Elephas maximus indicus: one gene and its partner. The protein of the gene in region 1 interacts with the protein of each later gene in a pairwise test. Links are inferred from orthologs where the notes say so. Each region holds a gene or a part of one and is shown on either strand. Other genes may lie near its edges.

Region 1 (8,959 bases):
CTCTAAGTCTGGAATGCTGTGATAATGAGTTTGATCTGCTCCAGGAGGCGTCCTTCATACCTGACACACACACATCTGGCGTGGGATCTTCATGGAATTCAAACAGCTATAGAGAAAATGATAAATTGACCCCTTTCCTTTTTTAATGAATGAACGAAAAAAAAAAAAGACATTTACAAATTTCAGAGATTCGATGAAAAATGGATGTGTTTTAAGTGCAATTACCACTGGAAGAGACCCATGAAGCATTCAGACAAAGCTTTGAGAAATGCAGTGTGGCTTCCTTCTGTAATGCTGCTGATCTCAGTAGATAATTAGTAGAATGTAACTACTAAGTAGTTAATTTTCAGTTTTTAATCACTAATCACGGGATATATAAATGTTTTAAAGCAAAAGTATTTTTCAAATGGTATAGAACCTTCCAGGCTTTCCTGCTACTGTCGCACCACACCTACCATGGGGCCTGGCCTGAAAGCAGGGCTGAGGAAATGGGACTGGGGGAAAGTTAACTCATCAGGAAGCTTGATGTTGTGAGTTTGTGCTTGGCAAGTTTTCTGCGTGCTCGCCTTCCTTTGCCCGTGTATTGCTCCCATCTGACTATGCATAATAGCATTTTTTCCAACACAAGAACTTCTTCAGCACAGGTCTGCTGCAGGACTATTGTCTCTCGTAATTAGGAATTGGCCTCCTGTTCGAAGGATCCCTAAATTGTCACTTCAGTAGCACAACTTCCTTTGTCCCTATCTTCTTTAAAAGGAGGAGGTAGCAAAGTCATCCCTACATGTGACTTTTGCAACCGAGGGAACTCAATGGTACTGAGATCTCGCTGTCTTTCCCTCCTTCCCTACCTCCTCATTTCTCCCTCCCTCCTGCTTTCCCTCTTGAAAGAGATACTAAAGAGGGGTTGGGGGCGGTTGTCCTGGAATCACAGTTCCTCTTTAATAGAATAAGTGTAGGAAGAGCTGTCACCTAAGGCACTGCTGTTACTTTGGTGACCTTAATTACTTGGGTTTTCTGGGACAATCCAGATTCCAAATATTCTGTCATTTTGACATAAGCTATTAAAATGCCTGAAGGCTACAGTATTGGGCATTAAAAAAACAAAAGCATTGCACCTCTTACACCCAGAAGTAGCATAGCAATCCTTCCCAAACCATATGTTCTGGTTTTTGGTTTAGAAAATATAATCATTTAAACTCCGGCTGAAGGGTATATGGAGGTGCCATAGAGTCTGGTTCTTACTGTATGTCTGCCTTTGTTTTCTGTGTGTTTCTAGGAGCTTTATCTGAATTGCTAAAGGTCCTTTTGGTCGAAATGTAATTGACACAATCATTCTATAAAGGTTAAACATGTACCTCTTAATGAATTTTTTCCCCTTAAAATCAGTGTAAAGCAACACAAGTCATTTGATTTGTCTTAACCTGTTAAACTGTATCTTTGACATCTGCCTCTTAAAACCGATTGTTCTAGAATCAATCTTGACAATACAGTGTAATTCAGTAGCAGTGTAATTTCTTGACTGCCACATCACGCTATTATCCTGGGACCTGATGTAAAATCCATTCCAGTGCATCTGGTCACATGAAACCTTTCAGTTACAGCAGAAATACTGTGTGTTAACACAAGCCTTGATCTTTCCATCGGGAGAATTAATTGATAATTTCATGTTAAGATTGAAGTAGAAAGCACTCTGTCTTAATCTCATTTGGGCATTGCTTGACAGTAATTTAGATTCTGGGAAATAACTGAAAGTAAGTTTAAATTGTTTACTATTGACTTATTAAATGTAGAATTATTTCAAAATTAGTGGTTAAATACCTTGTTCACAGGTGGATATCTGTGGGCAGGATCTGAAGGTGCTTGAAACGACACTGTCTCATCCAGCAGCATACATCCAAGATCTTAGCACGTCTGAAGAAACTGTAGACATGACAGCCACCTTCAGTCCAACCAACACCTTGGGTTTTACTTAAAAACTAATCTGACATTTAACGCTGTTTTCATTAAGAATGGAATGTTTTGTCTTGAACTGTCCTCAGTGTAATCAACGAATAAAGATGCAGTAAAATCTCACTGATTTGTCCTATTAAGAGAGAAGAAGTGTGCTACGTAATTAAATGTAAGTTTACGTTGTGGAGAATTTTTAAATGCAGACTTATTAGGTTTAGGTAGCAGTAAGACCAAAACCAGAAGGAATGAGGGCTTGCCTGAACAGGTAGCTGTAAAGCAGCCGTCGTCACTGTAGTTGCTGCTGTAAATGGGCGATGCCATGGTGAGTTTAGGAGTCCTTGGGTCCTGAGAAATGAAGCAGCCAATCCAGTTTTTCTCCAGGCAGAGCCCCATAGTGAGGAAAATGGAAGAGTTAAGATCTAACACCCCAGCCTTAGCAGCGGGTAAGTCTGGTTTGGTCGAGCTCTTCGGTGAACCATCACACAAAAAGTGCAAACAAATTTCAACCTAGTTTTCTCCAAAATGGTAAATGCTGAGTAGAATTAATGAGATTTTTCTGTATTAGCTTTTCTTAGATTATATTGACATAAGCCTTTTTTTTTTAAGAGTACTTAGCAGCGTACAAAAGCTGAAAATTGGATTTTCTATCTGTAATGGCTCAAGGTTGATCATCCTGTGTTTGGAGCGTGGTCTTATGCTCTACCAGGTACATACTGAGGTGTGTTTCAGTGTTGGGACGTGAGTGACCTCAAAGCACCATTGTTGCAAAAGCCTTTGGGGACCTTAATGTTCTTGTCTTTGGAATGTACCACTAAAAAAAGACCAGACTTAATGGTCTGAGACTGGAGGGACCCCAGAGGTCATGGCAGCCAGACTCTCTGTTAGCCCAAAACTGAAACCGTTCTCAAAGCCAACTCTTCAAAGATTAGTCTGGCCTGTGAAACATAAGATGATACTGGTGAGGAGTGTGCTGCTTAGCTCAAGTAGACACAGGAGACTATGTGGGCAGCTCTTGTCTGGAGACGAGGTGAGAAGGCCAAGGGGGGCAGGAGCTGGTTGAATGGACTCAGAAAATACAGGGGAGAGAAGCAATGTGCTGTCACATTGTAGGGAGAGCATCTAGGGTCACATAACAATGTGTGTATAAGCTTTTCTATGAGAAACTGACTTGAATTGCAAACTTTCACTTAAAGCACAGTAAAAAAAAATTGTAACTGATATGTACCAGCTTATCTTTAGAACATCTTAATTGCAATATTTTTATGTTCAAATGCTTTCTAAAAACTCACTGTAACTTCAGATTTCATATACCTAAAGGCACTTTATAGTTAGTTCCTAAAGTTAATATGTTAGATCTTAACTCTTAAGTTTTCCTCACTTGGGGGCTTTGGCTGGAGAAATACGACTAGTTTCTAAATTCATGATTCTGGGGAATCCATAATTCTTCAGACAACTTACTTTCCTCAAAGTACCCCTCCCCCATTTCTGAAGGCTGTCCATCCATCTTAGGAAGGAAGTGAATTGGATGCAGATAGTCTATACCACCTGTTGTATGTGGAGGGTACACGTGGGCTTGCAGGGTGTCTTCCTGCAGGAGCTGCTGCTGCAGCTGGGGAGCAGCAGCGTCAGGAACTTGCTTGTTCTGAGACCAACATCCTAGAGTCTACTGACTCAGATAAAGGCTTTGATCATTTTTGTGGAATAACGCAGGGAGACCATCTCAGCTAGTTAAACATTTACTACTACAATCTCAGAGTAGAATGGTTAAACCAAGCCACACTGTAAATAACTATTTGAAATTAATTTTCATTTTAAAATATTGTTGGGGTTGTGCTTTTAGCTGTCCAAAACTACTAAAAATTTCTGTACCTATTCCTGTGGCCCCTGAAAGTAAACAGCCTTCTAAGGAACCATTAGAATTATCGGATGTGAGCTGTCACAGATCAGAAAGTTCCTAGAAGTCCAAGGGTTTTTTTAGTTTTGTTTTTGCCCTAAAAAGGGGCCATTTTGTCTTGGGAAGATGAAGTTAAATGGAGAGCGATTTTAAGAATTCTGAACCAAAATAAAAAGCTACAATACTGTTTTCATAAATTTTCGGTAATATGTGATCTTCAATATTCAGACTGCTGATAACTACTTGTAAACACTTCCAACTGCTATGGTTTCCGTGAAATTACTTGTGTTCTTTGGAGCGTGTAATTGCTTTGCTACATTTTTTCTTTCACTGTTGTGGTTTGAGTATGGGTCCTACTGAAGAACCTGCATTTACGATGTATTTTTACCCAACCCTGGCTGGACATGTCCTTCGGGGCTGGGAGTTCCGAGGAGGTGCCCCGGCCGGAGGGTATGAATCCCGGCGACAGCGATGACCCGCTAGCACTCCTTGGCCAGCGGTAAGCCAACGACTAACCCCTTTTGTGAAACTGAATAACCCTTAATAAAATCTGTATTTAGCACACAAGTGTACGTGTCTTTGTTGGGTGTTGGGTTACATTCTGGTTTCGCAGATTGGGGATTTCGTTAAATTGAACGTCACAGCCGCCTCCCTCAAGCTTTAAAAAAAAAAATCAAGCTTTAGGTGTGGGATAAATACGGTTTCACAGGTGAACCTTTCGATTTTAACCTATTTCTCACCGCCGTGCCCCGCTACCCATCGGAGTTAGCCCTCGAAAGAGAGCCGGAAGAACTTGAACTGTTCTGTCTTCCAGCCCAGTTCCTGACAGTCATCCAGGGAGGGGCGGAGAGAGAAGCCGAAGGGGCCCCCAGGCCGCGTCGCTCTTCCCTAGGCGGCGTCGAAGGAGCCCCTAGCAACGCTCGGAGGCGCCAATAGAGGCTGGGCCCAGGCTAACGGCCGCGGCGCGGCTCCCTGGGAAATGTAGTTTGTCTTGGCGCTCCCGCTCCCTTGGTTCCGGCAGATGAGTGACCCGCGGACTACAATTCCCAGGATGCCTCGCGACTCGCCTTTCTGCCAGAGGTTGGTGTTCACCGGGCTCCGAGGCGGGAGGCCTGACAGAGCCAGGTTCCAGGGGAGGTGGACCTGCGGCTATGGCTGGGGCAGTCCTCTAGGACCGCGCCTCGGAAAAGAATGGCGCGTAACGGGGGGCTCCAGGGGCTGGGAGGATAGAGGCTGCGCTCTGGGTCGAGGTAGGCTGAGCGCGCAGGGGTGGCGCATGGCTGGGCGCGGAGTCCCGGAACCAAGGGGTTCAACGGACAGGGCCTTTGCCAAGGGGCGGGGTCGGGATTTGAAAATGCCTGGCGTGGGGCTGGCTGAGTAGATGAGATGACGTGATGGCACTCTGGTTCTTTGGCTTTTGCAAAACCCAGAAAACCCACTGCTGTCGAGTGGATTCCGAGGCATGGCGACCCTGTAGGACAGAGAACTAATCCATAGAGTTTCCAAGGCTGTAACCTTTATGGAAGCAGACTGCCACATCTTTCTGCCGCGGAGCGTGGAGCGCTGGTGGGTTCCAACCGCTGACCTTTTAAGTTAGCAGCCAAGCGCTTTAACCACTGCGCCACCAACGCTCCTTTGGCCTTTGCAGACCACTTAGGAAATCTCTGTGGTTTGGGAAACTGAGGCAGATTCCCTTTGGATGGGAGATGGCAGAAGTTTCTTGATGTTATGAGACAAACTGCTTGGATTGTAGGTCGTGAAAATTGCTATTACAGACACTAACACTCAGGGTAGCCTTTGTCCATCCCCCCAGATAAACTTCGAATTCTCATAACAGGGCAGACAAACAGTTGAGAAATAGTGATGACCGTCTCTGACTCCTTCCTTCCAAGGCATGCCAGAGGTTGGTTTTGGTCAAGTGCAAGTGAGGAGGTATAATTCTGAGGAAGACTCTTCTCTGTTAATGAGGTGAGTGAGACTTGCAGTTAGTGTGAATGGGGGAAAAAATTCCATTGTTAGTGAAAGTAGTGTGAAGCCATGGCCAGGGATCACATCCGCTCCTCCTTGTGCTGGATTGCTATCTAGAAAGTAATCATGGGTGTTGCCTGGGAAGCCAGTAGGCCATGGGCACGTACCCACCTCCTTTCCAAAATGATACGTACCTGCCATTTCCCTCATCCTCTTCGAGAATAAGGGATGAGGACCGCTGCACTTTAATGGAGTAATCTGAGTGTAGGCCTCAGTAAACCTATCACGTTACCCAGAACACTCTGGTTCTCATCTGAATTGCTCCCCCCATAAGAAATGTGTAATTTATGTAAATAAGCTTTGATCTCTTGGATGGGTAAAGTGAGGAAAACCTGGACTGGCCTTGGACTCGAGCACTATTACAGCCACAGCATTTTTAAGCAACCACTTTAATTTTCTTCACTAGGTGAGGAGGAGCCTGATGTAGATGGAATTCAAGTGAGCTGGACAGTGCTGTGAAGCAGACCCAGAGCCTTGAGATGGTAGGTGGAATGCGGAGTAAGACGAATGGAAGCGTGGCCTCTTCTCCCCCAAGATCTTGACTAGATGCAGTAATTTGGGAGGTGGGTGACAAGGACCAGGGTGTGGTCCCTGGAGGAGAGTAATGGAAAGTAACATGGCTATCAGACTTCTCATTAAGTAACGAGTAGGTTTCTTCTGAGCCTCTGAATGTCTAGCTGAAAGCGTTTTTAAACGTCTGTCAGGATCGAGGAGTCAGGTCTGTGGAATGGAAGAAAAGATGAACAATCACGTATGTTACATCCTGGCTGGAAGGGGACTCGTGTGGCGTCTGGAGGTCAGGGAAAAGGAGAGACTTCTGCCCACCTGATGACATCCCCTGCTGGCTAGTGGGGACTGTTGTCATGTTCTGAACGAGTCCATTTTCAGAAACTCTAGGCAAGCATAACAGACTTCTGTCTTAAATGCCGTTGGGTCTCCTTTTTCTCTGGTGACATGACAAAAGGCAAAACAGTTCATTCTGCATTCCCAGCCTTGGGTTTCCTCTGTTTCAACACACTGTTGACTGTTTGATTTTGTTAATGTGATTTCTTTTTCCATTTTAGGCAGCAAAAGCCAGGAAGGGATTAAAAGGTAAGCAGAGAAATGGAACATCACCCTTAAGCCAAGTATGTGTGTGTGTATTCCTCCCCCACCCCCACCACCATGGCTTCAAAAAGAATTTAAACATGTTTGCGTTTAAATGTAAGGAGCCCTAGTGGTGCAGCGATTAAAGCACTTGGCTGCTAACCACCAGTTTGATGGTTCAAACCCACTAGCTACTTCTGGGAGGAAGATGTAGCATTCTGCTTCTGTAAAGATTTACAGCCTCAGAAGCCCTATGGGGCAGTTCTACTTGATGGCAGTGGGTTTGGTTTTGATTCGACACCTAAATGTTCTTGGTGAGAGTCTTGTTGTTTTTCCCATAATTCCATAGGCAGCCTTGGTCTTTCTAGGGGACCCCTCCTTATGTTGGCTCATTGGCCCTCAGAGTAATTCAGAAATAATTAAGGGATGGGACTTTGGAGAAAATCCTTCTTGTTGGGTTCTGTATCCAGAAGTAGATGGTTGAACCATAAACCAGTAGACAGCAGTGCTGAGGTGGATACGATCAAAAATATCTGCATTCTCCTTTTCGTCTCTGTCATATGAAGCTTTATTCCAATTACTTTTCATGGAATGACATATTTCGCATAAGTAGTTTCCTTGATAAGAAAGAATATATAGAAATCTCCCTGCAATTAATTCCCAATGTTTATTTTTTTAAACTGGACTGTGGGATTTCTAAAGATGAATAATATGGAGCCCACAGTCCATTTATGTGTTCGCTGTCCTGTGGCTGAAACCATGTTTGTCTTTTAAACACTAGTTTAAAGCTCCCAATAAACATGCCTGTTGCTAACAGCACAGAAAAGTGGGAAAAGCCTCAGGCACAATCTAGCTGTTCTACTAAAGCCTTTTAAACATGCGGTCACCTTCTGTTTGCACGTCTCTCCCCTGAGAGTCTGTGCCGGCAGTGCCATAGAGTGCCTTCTCCGTTTCCTGGGGGCAAACGATGAAGACTGCGCCTCCTCAGTCAATTGTGCTCCAGTATTTTAGTGGAAATGGATGTAAAGTATATAAATATTCAAACCCGCGGCCTGACCACCCCTAATACAGCCTTTTGAATTTGTTCCATGTACGTAGTTGTTAGGTGCCGTTGATTCTATTCTGCCTGGCATGACGGAGCAGAACTGCTCCATAAGGTTTTCTTGGCTGTAATCTTTACGGAAGCAGATTACCAGGTCTTTCTACTGTGGAGCCACTGCGTGGGTTTGAACAGTCAACCTTTCCTTCAGAAGCCAAGCACTTAACTATTGCACCACCAAGGCTTCTTAGTTACTTGTATAGATAATTCTTCATTAAAAAAAAGAAGAAAAAGAAGGAGGTGTTTGAAGTTCAGAGTGGTAAAGACCCTGAAGCTAGATACAAGTACTAACTCAGTACTCGTGCTCTACCCCCATCAGAAAGTGGGCAAGGAGGTGAGCGTCCAGACCAGTGCTGGGGAGGTCTCGGATGGAAGGATACATGGAGGCTGTTGGTGTGGCAGAAGCTTGTATGTGCCCAGAGGTCTTGGACACTTTTCCCAAAGGTCCACACCAGGCTTTGTTCAGAGTTTAGAGGATGGCGCATTGGCCAGTGTCTCATGGGGGGAGGCACATAGAATGTGGATTATACTGAAAATCTTTACCATCATTCTTTGAAAAAGTTATTTTTAATTTCTACCCTGAGGCCTTTCACCAGTGCTTCATGACTCGTTGCCAGGGGGTTAGAATATAGCATGAGCAGTGAAGGGAAAACTAAGTGTTAAGACCCAATATCTGAGAGCTCTGAACCCCTGGGGTGAGCTTGCAAGAGTTGAGGCTTGTGAGAGCCGTTCTTCTTGTCTCCTGAAATCATGACAGCTCCTTCTCTGTTGCAGGCTCCATTGATGATGTCCTGGGTGACCTCTTAGGGGATGACAGTAAGTGTCCCCTGGTCTAGGTTTATTCTTTTTTTACTTGATATATAATTCACCTACCAAAGAGCCCTGGTAGTGCAGTAGTTAAG
Region 2 (9,539 bases), on another chromosome or scaffold:
GTTGTATACAAGATAACTTGAAAGCAGGGTAGAAAGTGTGCTGTCAAAAGTCAAGATAAAGCCCTATGGAAGGCCAGGGTAGGAAGTTCTTGGTAAATACAGCACAGGACAGAACTTTCCTAAGGGTAGTATTTGGCCCTTGGATAGGATTCCAGCAAGAAAATCAAGGGAAGTGCATGACTGCTAGAAGGAATAGCTGCATTAAAGGTGAGTCTGTAAGAAATAGGCGAGGACATTCTAGGAATGGTGCGTGGCCATATATGACTAGCCAAATGCCAAGAAGGTGGTTTGGGACCAGCTGTAGAAGGGCCATGAGCCAGGCTGAGGGTCCTAGACTTCATTCAGTGGTCACTTGGGAGCTGTTCCATCTAGTTCCTCAGAGACACCTTGTGTTGACTTTCTGGCTTAACTAGGGCAGTGTTGGGCCCTGTTGGCCTACCTGTCTGGGAGTGACCTCAAGTCCTCTTTCTCCATTCCCTTCATATATGTCAAGTCTTTATCCTTCAACTATTTCTCCATAACCTTGATTGTACTATCTCTTCTCCAGTTTGCCTGATCCCAACAGGACCCATGTGATCTGGGGTACCAGTAAGGTGAGCCCTAGCTGTCAATCCTTGGGTGGGGGAGGAAAGAGAGCCAGGAATAAAAGGTAGACAAACCAGGTGTTCACTCCCCTACTACTCTTCATCTAGGATTTTGGCATCTCTGGCTTCCGCTTTGGTACTTTATACACCCACAGCAAGGAAGTAGCTGCTGCTGTGAGCTCCTTTGGCTGCCTCCATGGCATCTCTGGCACCACCCAGCATAAGCTGTGTCGGCTGCTCCAGGACAGAGGTACTGAGCTCCATCCCAGGCCAGCATCTTGGCTGGACCCCTTGGCCGCACGGAATTCCCGGGTCTGCTTCTGTTATCCCCTCAATACACCAAGATCCTGTTCACTGTCTCGGGCTTAGCCTTACAGGACATGAAGTATGAAGGAGGGTAGGATGCGGCTCAGATAGTGCAGTGGGAAGATGCAAGTGCTGGTCTGAAACACAGCGTAGGCTTGAACTTCTGGATGTCTTGTAGCTCAAAGTCTGCCTGGAAAGGGGATAGTCAATTGCACTGTAAGATCTGAAGGTGGGAAGTTGAGATATCAGTCTATGTAGATGTCTCTTCTCTAAGGAAGAGATTACAAAGAAACTCCCTGTACCCTCTAATACGGCTTAACCTCATCTTCCAAGGGGAGCTGCCATCTGGGGGAGTTGATGTGGCTAGATTCATGGCACTTGGATTCACATTCCTCCCTGGATCTCAAGTGAATGCTGGCCTTAGAGGGAACTTCCCCCTTGAATACTGTGGTCCAAATGTAGATAAGACCCCTTTTCTTTAATTCTCTGTAATAGAACAGATACCAGGTTGGAGGGCTTACATAAAAAGCTAGGGTATAATGAAACAAACTAATGTAATAAAATAAGATCGCTTAAACGGTTTACTTTCAGGTTTGAGTGGGGAAGGAGGTAGATAGGAGAAATTTAATTTGATGCTTTCCTACATGGCACCAGACCCTTTGATATTTGGCAGAAATCAGCTTCCCAGCCCCTAGAACATTGGTTCTCAACCTTGGCAGCACATGGGAATTACCTGGGGAGCTTAAATACTGATGCATGAGCCCCATCCAAAAGATGTAGATAATCTTGAGGGTACAGTTTAGGCATCAAACTCCAGATGGTTCTAACACCAAGGACAATTGAGCCTGTCTAGGTTCCTCAAAGGCCATAGTGTGAGGCTCAAAGGCAGGAGATATGGGGACCTGCTACTTCCCCAGTTGATACCAGAAGCATCAACCCCTTTTAGGAGATACTCCTCCATTCTACCTCTTCCTTGCCTCAGGGGTGTAAATGCAAACAGAGAATTTCTATTAAAAACTATCGAGAAACCCAATGTCTGTACCTAAGCCATAGATGAGAGGTGAATGTGTTGGTATGGATACCAAAAACACATAGGTATGTTGATAAAAAAAAAAAAAAGGGATGCCATCAATTCAAATATGATAGTCTTGGATAGAAGAGTTGGCATGAAGACCAGGTAGGGAGCATTTGGTAAGGAACCTTTTGGTAGATCTCTGACACAAGAACTGTGATGGCTCTCTTCCTCCATTCATACAGATTGGATTGATAAAATGTACCTGCCCACTAATCACTCCCGGCTCCAGGAGGCTCACAAGTATATCACAGACAAACTGAAGGCCTTGAAGATCCCCTTTCTCAATCACGGCTCTGGCCTCTATATCGGGATCAACTTGAAAAAGGTGAGGTCTCTGAATGAGAACTGGCATTCTGGGGCAGAATTGCAAATGGACTTTGGGCTAAGGTCTGTCCTCTGCCCTCCCTAGTACCTGGACCCATGTATATTTGAGAACGAGCTAGTCCTCCACCACCGCTTCCTGGATAACAAGGTGGTATTGTCCTGTGGCAAGTCCTACTTGTGTAAGGAGCCAGGCTGGTTCCGCCTTGTCTTTGCAGATAAGCCCCGCCGGATGAAACTGGGTGAGTGATGTTGACCTTCCAATCCTGGCTCCTTCAAAGATGCCCCACCAACTTCTCCATAACCCAATCCCAGAATGATAAGATGTGGTGAAACCCATGTGAAATTTTTCATGATAGATTTGTAAGTAAACACAATTAAGCCAGTACTACCATGTTTAAGTGCTACAGCTGCTAACCAAAGGGTGGGCAGTTCAAATCTGCCAGGCACTCCTTGGAAACTCTATGGGGCAGTTTTACTCTGTCCTTAAGGTTTGCCATGAGTCGGAGTTGATTCGACAGCACTGGGTTTTTTTTTTTTTACCATGCTTACTGGTTAATCTGCCCCTACCGAATCTTCCTTCTTTTTCTTTTAGCAGCCCATATCTTGTCCTTCTATTCTACCTGTTTCCATCTTCATCTCTTTAATTAAATCGCTTTGTAAACAGGAACTGATAGGTGCTTGAGATACACACCTGCTCATTCATTATACCTTCAGGTATCTGTTCTGTGCCTGACATTGAGCAAGGCATTGAGACTATCCACTAAGAAATTGTACTATGCCCTTGTAGATGTGCAGTCTAGTAGGGAGAATGAATGAGGAGATGATAGAAGTTCCTTTTGTATATTATGCTATGGAGTTCAGACACTCCTCTGAAGATTTCAGAGACCATCACATCCATTTTAATAAGTATGTATCACCTCATACTTCATGCTAGGCGCTATTCTACCTGCTGGGGATGCAGCAATGAATGAGACAAGGCGGACTTTGGTGCTGTAGCAATATCTTACTGGCTAGTGTGGAGAACAGATTGAGTGAAGAGACAACATTGTCATCGAGTCAATTCCAACTCATAGTGACCCTATAGGACAGAGTAGAACTCCCCATAGGGTTTCCAAGGCTGTAAATCTTTATGGGAGCAGACTGCCACCTCTTTTCTCCCACAGAGCTGCTGGTGGATTCGAACTACCAGCCCTTTAGTTAGCAGCTGGAAGCTTAATCACTGCACCACCAGGGCTCCTTTTGAAAAGACACTAGAGGCATTGAACACTTGGTGAGGCCAAGGCTACAAGCCAGGGCACAGGATTTGGTATGAGACTTGAGGTGTCTGGCAGGCTGCTGTGACAGTACCATTGGGGATGAGGCAGGTGGACTTAAAATCCATCCCAAAGAAGGGAGGGCTAAAGTTCAGCAGAGGTAGAATCACTGCCAAGACCCGGGTATGTCTGGAGCCCATCTGCCAATCTACTAAGTATTTCTCTCTGTCTCCATTTGGACCCTCTAGCCATGCATTGGTTCTGTGAAGCGCTACAAGAACAGAAGAAGGAGTTGGTAGCAGGGCTCCCAGAGGATATGCACAGGAGTAGGCTGTCTGCCTCCCATCCAGCCACATGCTCGGCTGGTCCAGAGGGCTGAGACATGGAACTGCTACTGTGACTGAGCAAACAGTGGGCTGCTCCAGAAATGGTCTCATCTGGCCCAGTCACTGACCTCTTTGAACGGAGTCAAACATCTGTCACTTTTGGAAGCTTTGCATCTTTTTAGTCTTTGCTAACCATTGTGTGGGGGGCAAAATGGATGTTTTTACTGAGGTTGGGAAGGCCTAGGGGGCACCTGGAGTGGGATAAAGGGAGTCCCCTGGATCCTTATTTAGATTTTTTTTTTTTTTAATTCAATGTCTAATAAATTCCATGTTGTTGTTGTTAGGTGCCATTGAGTCAGTTCCAACTCATAGTGACCCTGTGCACAACAGAACAAAACACTGCCTGGTCCTGAGCCATCCTTACAATCGTTGTTATGCTTGAGCTCATTGTTGCAGCCACCGTGTCAGTCCACCTTGTTGAGGGTCTTCCTCTTTTCCGCTGACCCTGTATTCTGCCAAGCATGATGTCCTTCTCCAGGGAGATCCCTCCTGACAACATGTCCAAAGTATGTAAGACACAGTCTCGCCATCCTTGCTTCTAAGGAGCATTCCGGCTGTACTTCTTCTAAGACAGGTTCGGGTATAGGGTCGCTATGAGTCGGGATCAACTTGACAGCACTGGGTCTATGAGTCAGAATCGACTTGATGGCACTGGGTTTGATCTCTTGAATACTGGTATTCAATAAAGCCTTCTTACTACTTACCTCTTCCTGTCTCAGTATTGGCTTTGCAGCAGGTGGCTGGAACCCACTTTTGCAGTAAAAATAGCAGAGTAGAACTGCCCCATACAGTTTCCAAAGAGCAACTGGTGGGTGCAAACTGCTGACCTTTTCGTTAGTAGCCAAGCTTCTTAACCACTACAGCACCAGGGCTCCCAACAAAGATAAAGCAAAGACAAAAAGTGGAACGGTCAAAAGACCACATCTTCTCAGCCATACCCATATTGAGGGATCCTGAATATTTCCCGACATAGGGAAAGACGACTTTTTCTGCTGAAGGCGCCTCAGAGATACTTAGCTTTGCACGTGGGCCCCCGGACCTGGGTTTTCTACTTCATTGCTGAGGTCCTAGAATATGTAGAGTCCATGGCAGACATTCAAAAACTATTTTCTTGAATAAAAAGAGGGGAAATCACAAACCCTGATGAAAAGCTTTCATAGAGGAACGATACTTTAAGGGTGCTCTCTCCTTAATCTGGTAAAGCTTTTCCATGGGCCGCACCCAGGCAGTTTGCAGAAAAGCTTCCTTGGCTCCAACCGACTCCGGAAAACGGGGAGACCCACGTGCCAGGCATCCCGGGACCCCCGGCCTGGAAGGCCGGGGGCGATCAGGCTACGGAGCGCGGAGGTGGGAGCAGGCGACCCGCCCCTTCGGGAGGTCTCGGCCTCTGGGTCCCTTCCGCTTCTCCGGCTCCTCCTCCTGGCCCAGGGGGCGGGTGGGCTGGGGGCGGGGCTGGGGAGTCGCGGGCCCCAGTGCTGTGGTCACATCTGCGTTCCACAGCGCGCAGGCCACACGGAAGTGCCTGGGTGGGAAGGAGCGAGCCGCGCACTTACAGTCAGGGGACTTGGCCTGGGCGCTGACGGCCTCAGGGATCCCAGAGTCGCTGTGTCCCTGGGCGAAGCTCGGTCGCTGTCCTCGCCCGGGCTTAGAGCGTTTCCAGGTGAGGAAACCGACACAGTTACCAGCAAATTGCGGATTCGTGCCGCCTGCCGCCAAGCCAGTACTGAGGCAGGAAGAGGTAAGCAGTGTTAAAAAAAAAAAAATTTTTTTTTTTTTCCAAGCAGTAGGAGGGCTTTATTGAACACCAGTATTCAAGAGACAGAGAGGGTTAAATTGCTCTCAAATTCTTTCTAAACCTGGAGGACTAATTGGAGAGTTTTTATAGGGGAAGAGTCAGAGTTTAGAGGTTTTCGGGAATGCTGGTTTTTCTTTGAGGTAGACACGATGATTAAGTGGTCAATAATTGAAGTCCTGCCAAGCCTCTTCATGCCATCCTGGTTTCTGTAACAGGATGGATCTAGACTTTGTTCGGCCTGCTCGGTTTTGTGTTATTTCTTCCCTGGGAGAGGAACACAGTTGAATCAGCAATTAAAAATAGATGACCTAATTTTTCTTTAAATAAACTCTCCTGAGACAGATTCCAGAGCAAGTAATTACGTTTCAAAGACTAGCTTATACAGTTATATTGAAACATTAGAAAATATATTCTCTCTACTTCAATACTAAAACGCTAAAGAAAATATGTTTTCTCTACTTCATTAGCACACATCTCCGGAGGGCCTGCATCCAATCTGCTGCCAACTCTTCAGAGTAAGTGTGACCCCCGACTTTGCAGAGCAGGAAGCCAACCGGGCCTCCCTTTGTGCAGACTCCAGGATTCTTTGCAGAAGTCTCCACCGTTTTTTGTCTCAAGCTGCTGACACCAACTCAGCTTCCTCCTTCAGGAAGCCTGGAATCATCTCTCCCCAGGCAGCCTCCACCCTGCAGGGTGTGCTTTTGTGGATGGGTGGGTGGGTGGGTGCGGGTTTATACGTCGTATCTGCTCCCGCTTGTGGACTTTGGAGGCCTAGTAGTGCACGGATGTCTGGCCGTGGACATCCCAGCCGCCACCTTTCCCGCTGGCCACGGGAGTCGGCCTTCTCCAGGTAAGGTGCAGAGCTGGGAGCCCCGCGTCCCCCAAGCCCAGCCTGTGCCCTCCTGCCCGTGCCCTGGCCTGCTCAATGGTGCAGGCAGGCCTCTCTGCCCCTTCCTCAGACCTAGGCTGTCGGGAAGGACAAGGTGAGTGCTCAGGAAAGCAAGCCCAGCCAACTTGAGGATGACCCCAGAGAAGACTTCTTGGAGCAGAATTTAACTGCGGAGACCCCCAGGGTTTCTGTGCCCTGGCTGTCCACCCATCTTTTGGTGTGTGGGGGGTTGTGCATTAGGACTGAAAAAATTGGCGAGGAATTATAATACAATAACTCATATTTTATTGAACTTTCACCATGAGCCAGGATTTCTTCTAAGTAAGTGCTTTATCTATTTTAACTCATATATATATAAAATTGTACTTTAGATAAAGGTTTACAGAACAAACTAACTTCTCATTATGCAGTTAGTACACATTGTTTTACGACAGTGGTTAACAACCCCACGACATGTCAACATTCTCCCTTCTCCATCTTAGGTTCCCTATTACCAGCTTTCCTGTCCCCTCCTGTCTTCTAGTCCTTGCCCCAGGGCTGGTGTGCCCCTTTAGTCCCGTTTTGTTTTATGGGCCTGTCTAATCTTCGGCTGAAGGGTGAACCTCAGGAGTGACTTCATTACTGAGCTAGAAGGCTGTCCGGGGGCCATATTCTCTGGGTTTCTTCAGTCTCTGTCGGCCCAATAAGCCTGGTCTTTTTTTGTGAGTTAGAATTTTGTTCTGTATTTTTCTCCAGCTCTGTCTGGAGGGATCTATTGTGATTCCTGTCAGAGCAGTCGGTGGTGGTAGCCGGGCACCATCTACTTGTACTGGACTCAGTCTGGTGGAGGCTGGGGTAGTTGTGGTCCATTAGTTCTTTGGACTAATCTTTCCCTTATATCTTTAGTTTTCTTCTTTCTCCCTTGCTCCAGAGGGGGTGAAACCAGTGGAGTATCTTAGATGGCTGCTTATGGTCTCTTAAGACCCCAAATGCTACTCACCAAAGTAGAATGTAGAACGTTTTCCTTATAAACTATGTTATGCCAGTTGAGCTAGATGGTCCCCGAGACCATGGTCCCCACATCCCTCAGCCCAGCTATTCAGTCACTCAGGGTAACTCACATATTTGTGTCTTCACAACTCTCGTATGAGGTAGGGTTATCTCCACCCTCTGCCCCCTCCAAGCAGCTGAGGAAAACAGGCTTACAATAGAGAAGGAGCTCGCATCTGCTCAGAATGAGACCCCCCCTCTCTTTTGTCTGGCCTTCGCTCTCCCTCCCTCCATCCAGAGTGAAGGGGGGGGCCCTGGAGCTCTCCCTGGGGTGCCTGCACTTGCAGACACCCACCACCCCCTCCTTCTCCTCAGTCCTTATCCACCATTTGCTCCAGCCCACCAGATAATCTCATCCTGCCCTTTATGTACACCAGTCCCCACAAGACCCCCAGAACTCCCAGGCCAAGATCTGCTGTAACTCAGAACATTTTAACCTGACCTATAGAAATCGAGGCTGCAAGAATGGAAAATGAACGTTGGTGACCCCTTAGATTACAGAATGAAAAACTTTCACAATAGTTAAGGAAGCTAAAGCAGCCATAAGTTAAAGTCATATAAAAGTAGCAAGCACAGCCCCTGGCACATAATAGGTCCTTAGCTGATTTTACTTGTTGAAATGATTGTCTGCACACATGGTACAAATAGTAAGGGGCACAGGTGTTAAGTACATAAACGTAAAAAGGGGGGCAGCTACGGAAGGGGGAGTCTATGAGGCTTCCAACTCTTTGCTAATGTTTGGTGCTGTAGAAAGTCCTTGAGGAGGCCTGTTCATTGAGTGCCTTTGTCTTTTTTGCAGATGTCCACCCTCCCTCAGAAGGAATCCAGGGCATCTACTGCCTGTCCAGGCCCAGCCTCCACACAGGACCTGGGAAGTAGCTGTGACAATGGTCCAGAAAGAGAATGCTCCAGAAAACCAGACCAGAAGCTCTATGCAGTGGGCGATGCCAGTGCCATATTCTCCTCTGGCAGCTCCTACCTGTCCTCTCGAGGCAGTATCATTAAGTGGTTCTGGGACTCAGCCCAGGAGGGCTACAGGACCTACCACATGGATAAGTATGATGAGGACAAGAATCCCAGTGTGAGTGAAGCCTCCCTTCCCCTGGGCCCCAGGAGAGGAGCATAGGGTGGGGTACCTTACCTTGGCCAATAGGACAGCCCCCAGCTTATTCTTGTCAGGTTACCATTATGGCCCTCTGGTCCCTGACCTCCCTACCTTGGCCAATAGGAAAGCCCCCAGCTTGCTCTTGCCAGGTTGGCATTATCCAAGAGGGCCTCTGACTTAGTTCAAAGAGTTGATTGGCTGGGTCAGAAAATGGCCCATTTATAATAAAGGGGGCCCCACGTGTTTCAGGGCAGAATTGTGCTCTATAGGATTTTCATGGCTGTGACCTTTTGGACTCAGAGCACCAGGACTGCCTTCCAAGGTGCCTCTGGGTGGGTTTCAACAGCCAACCTTTCAGTTAGTAGCCCTGCTCTTAACCATCTGTGCCACCTAGGGACTCCCTAGAATACTTAAGATTAAATGAGATCAAATATGTAAGGTTATTAGCACAGTGCTTGGCATATAATATATTCAATAAATGGTAGCCGCTGTTATTATTCACATTATCTGTGCAGATTATTATAAGTTATTACTAGTAACAGTAATAATACCTGTAGAGGTCAGATAGAGATCACAAATAATCCTTTAGCAATCTTTATTTGTTGAGCATCTATCAGGGGCTGGGTGTTGTTCTAGGTGCCGGGGTTACAGTGGTGAACAAAAAGTTCCTGTCCTCATGGGGTTTGTGTTCTAGTGGGAGAGACAGACAGGGAACAGAAAAAAGTTTTTAATATGTGGTAACAAGTGCTGTAGAGAAAAATAAAGCAGGATAAAGACGACAGAGAATGATGCG

The links.
Region 2: the proteins of FBF1 (region 1) and ACCS interact in a two-hybrid assay, tested with the Homo sapiens proteins (2 studies listed by BioGRID and IntAct). The two-hybrid records come from large-scale screens. The link is inferred for Elephas maximus indicus from reciprocal best matches to the Homo sapiens genes FBF1 and ACCS.

The regions. Positions count from the first base shown.
Region 1 is NC_064837.1:66,176,667-66,185,625, reverse strand, and holds the start of FBF1 (fas-binding factor 1), read left to right. Parts: upstream 1-4,903; 5' UTR 4,904-4,924; intron 4,925-4,933; exon of another isoform or gene 4,934-5,094; intron 5,095-5,274; exon of another isoform or gene 5,275-5,410; intron 5,411-5,681; exon of another isoform or gene 5,682-5,736; 5' UTR 5,737-5,812; intron 5,813-6,278; 5' UTR 6,279-6,351; coding exon 6,352-6,354; intron 6,355-6,936; coding exon 6,937-6,964; intron 6,965-8,831; coding exon 8,832-8,873; intron 8,874-8,959. Other genes in the region: ACOX1 (peroxisomal acyl-coenzyme A oxidase 1), read left to right, coding at 1-6. UniProt on the Homo sapiens protein: Keratin-binding protein required for epithelial cell polarization. Involved in apical junction complex (AJC) assembly via its interaction with PARD3. Required for ciliogenesis.
Region 2 is NC_064825.1:99,411,470-99,421,008, forward strand, and holds the start of ACCS (1-aminocyclopropane-1-carboxylate synthase-like protein 1), read left to right. Parts: upstream 1-5,402; 5' UTR 5,403-5,666; intron 5,667-6,190; 5' UTR 6,191-6,238; intron 6,239-8,440; coding exon 8,441-8,722; intron 8,723-9,539. UniProt on the Homo sapiens protein: Does not catalyze the synthesis of 1-aminocyclopropane-1-carboxylate but is capable of catalyzing the deamination of L-vinylglycine.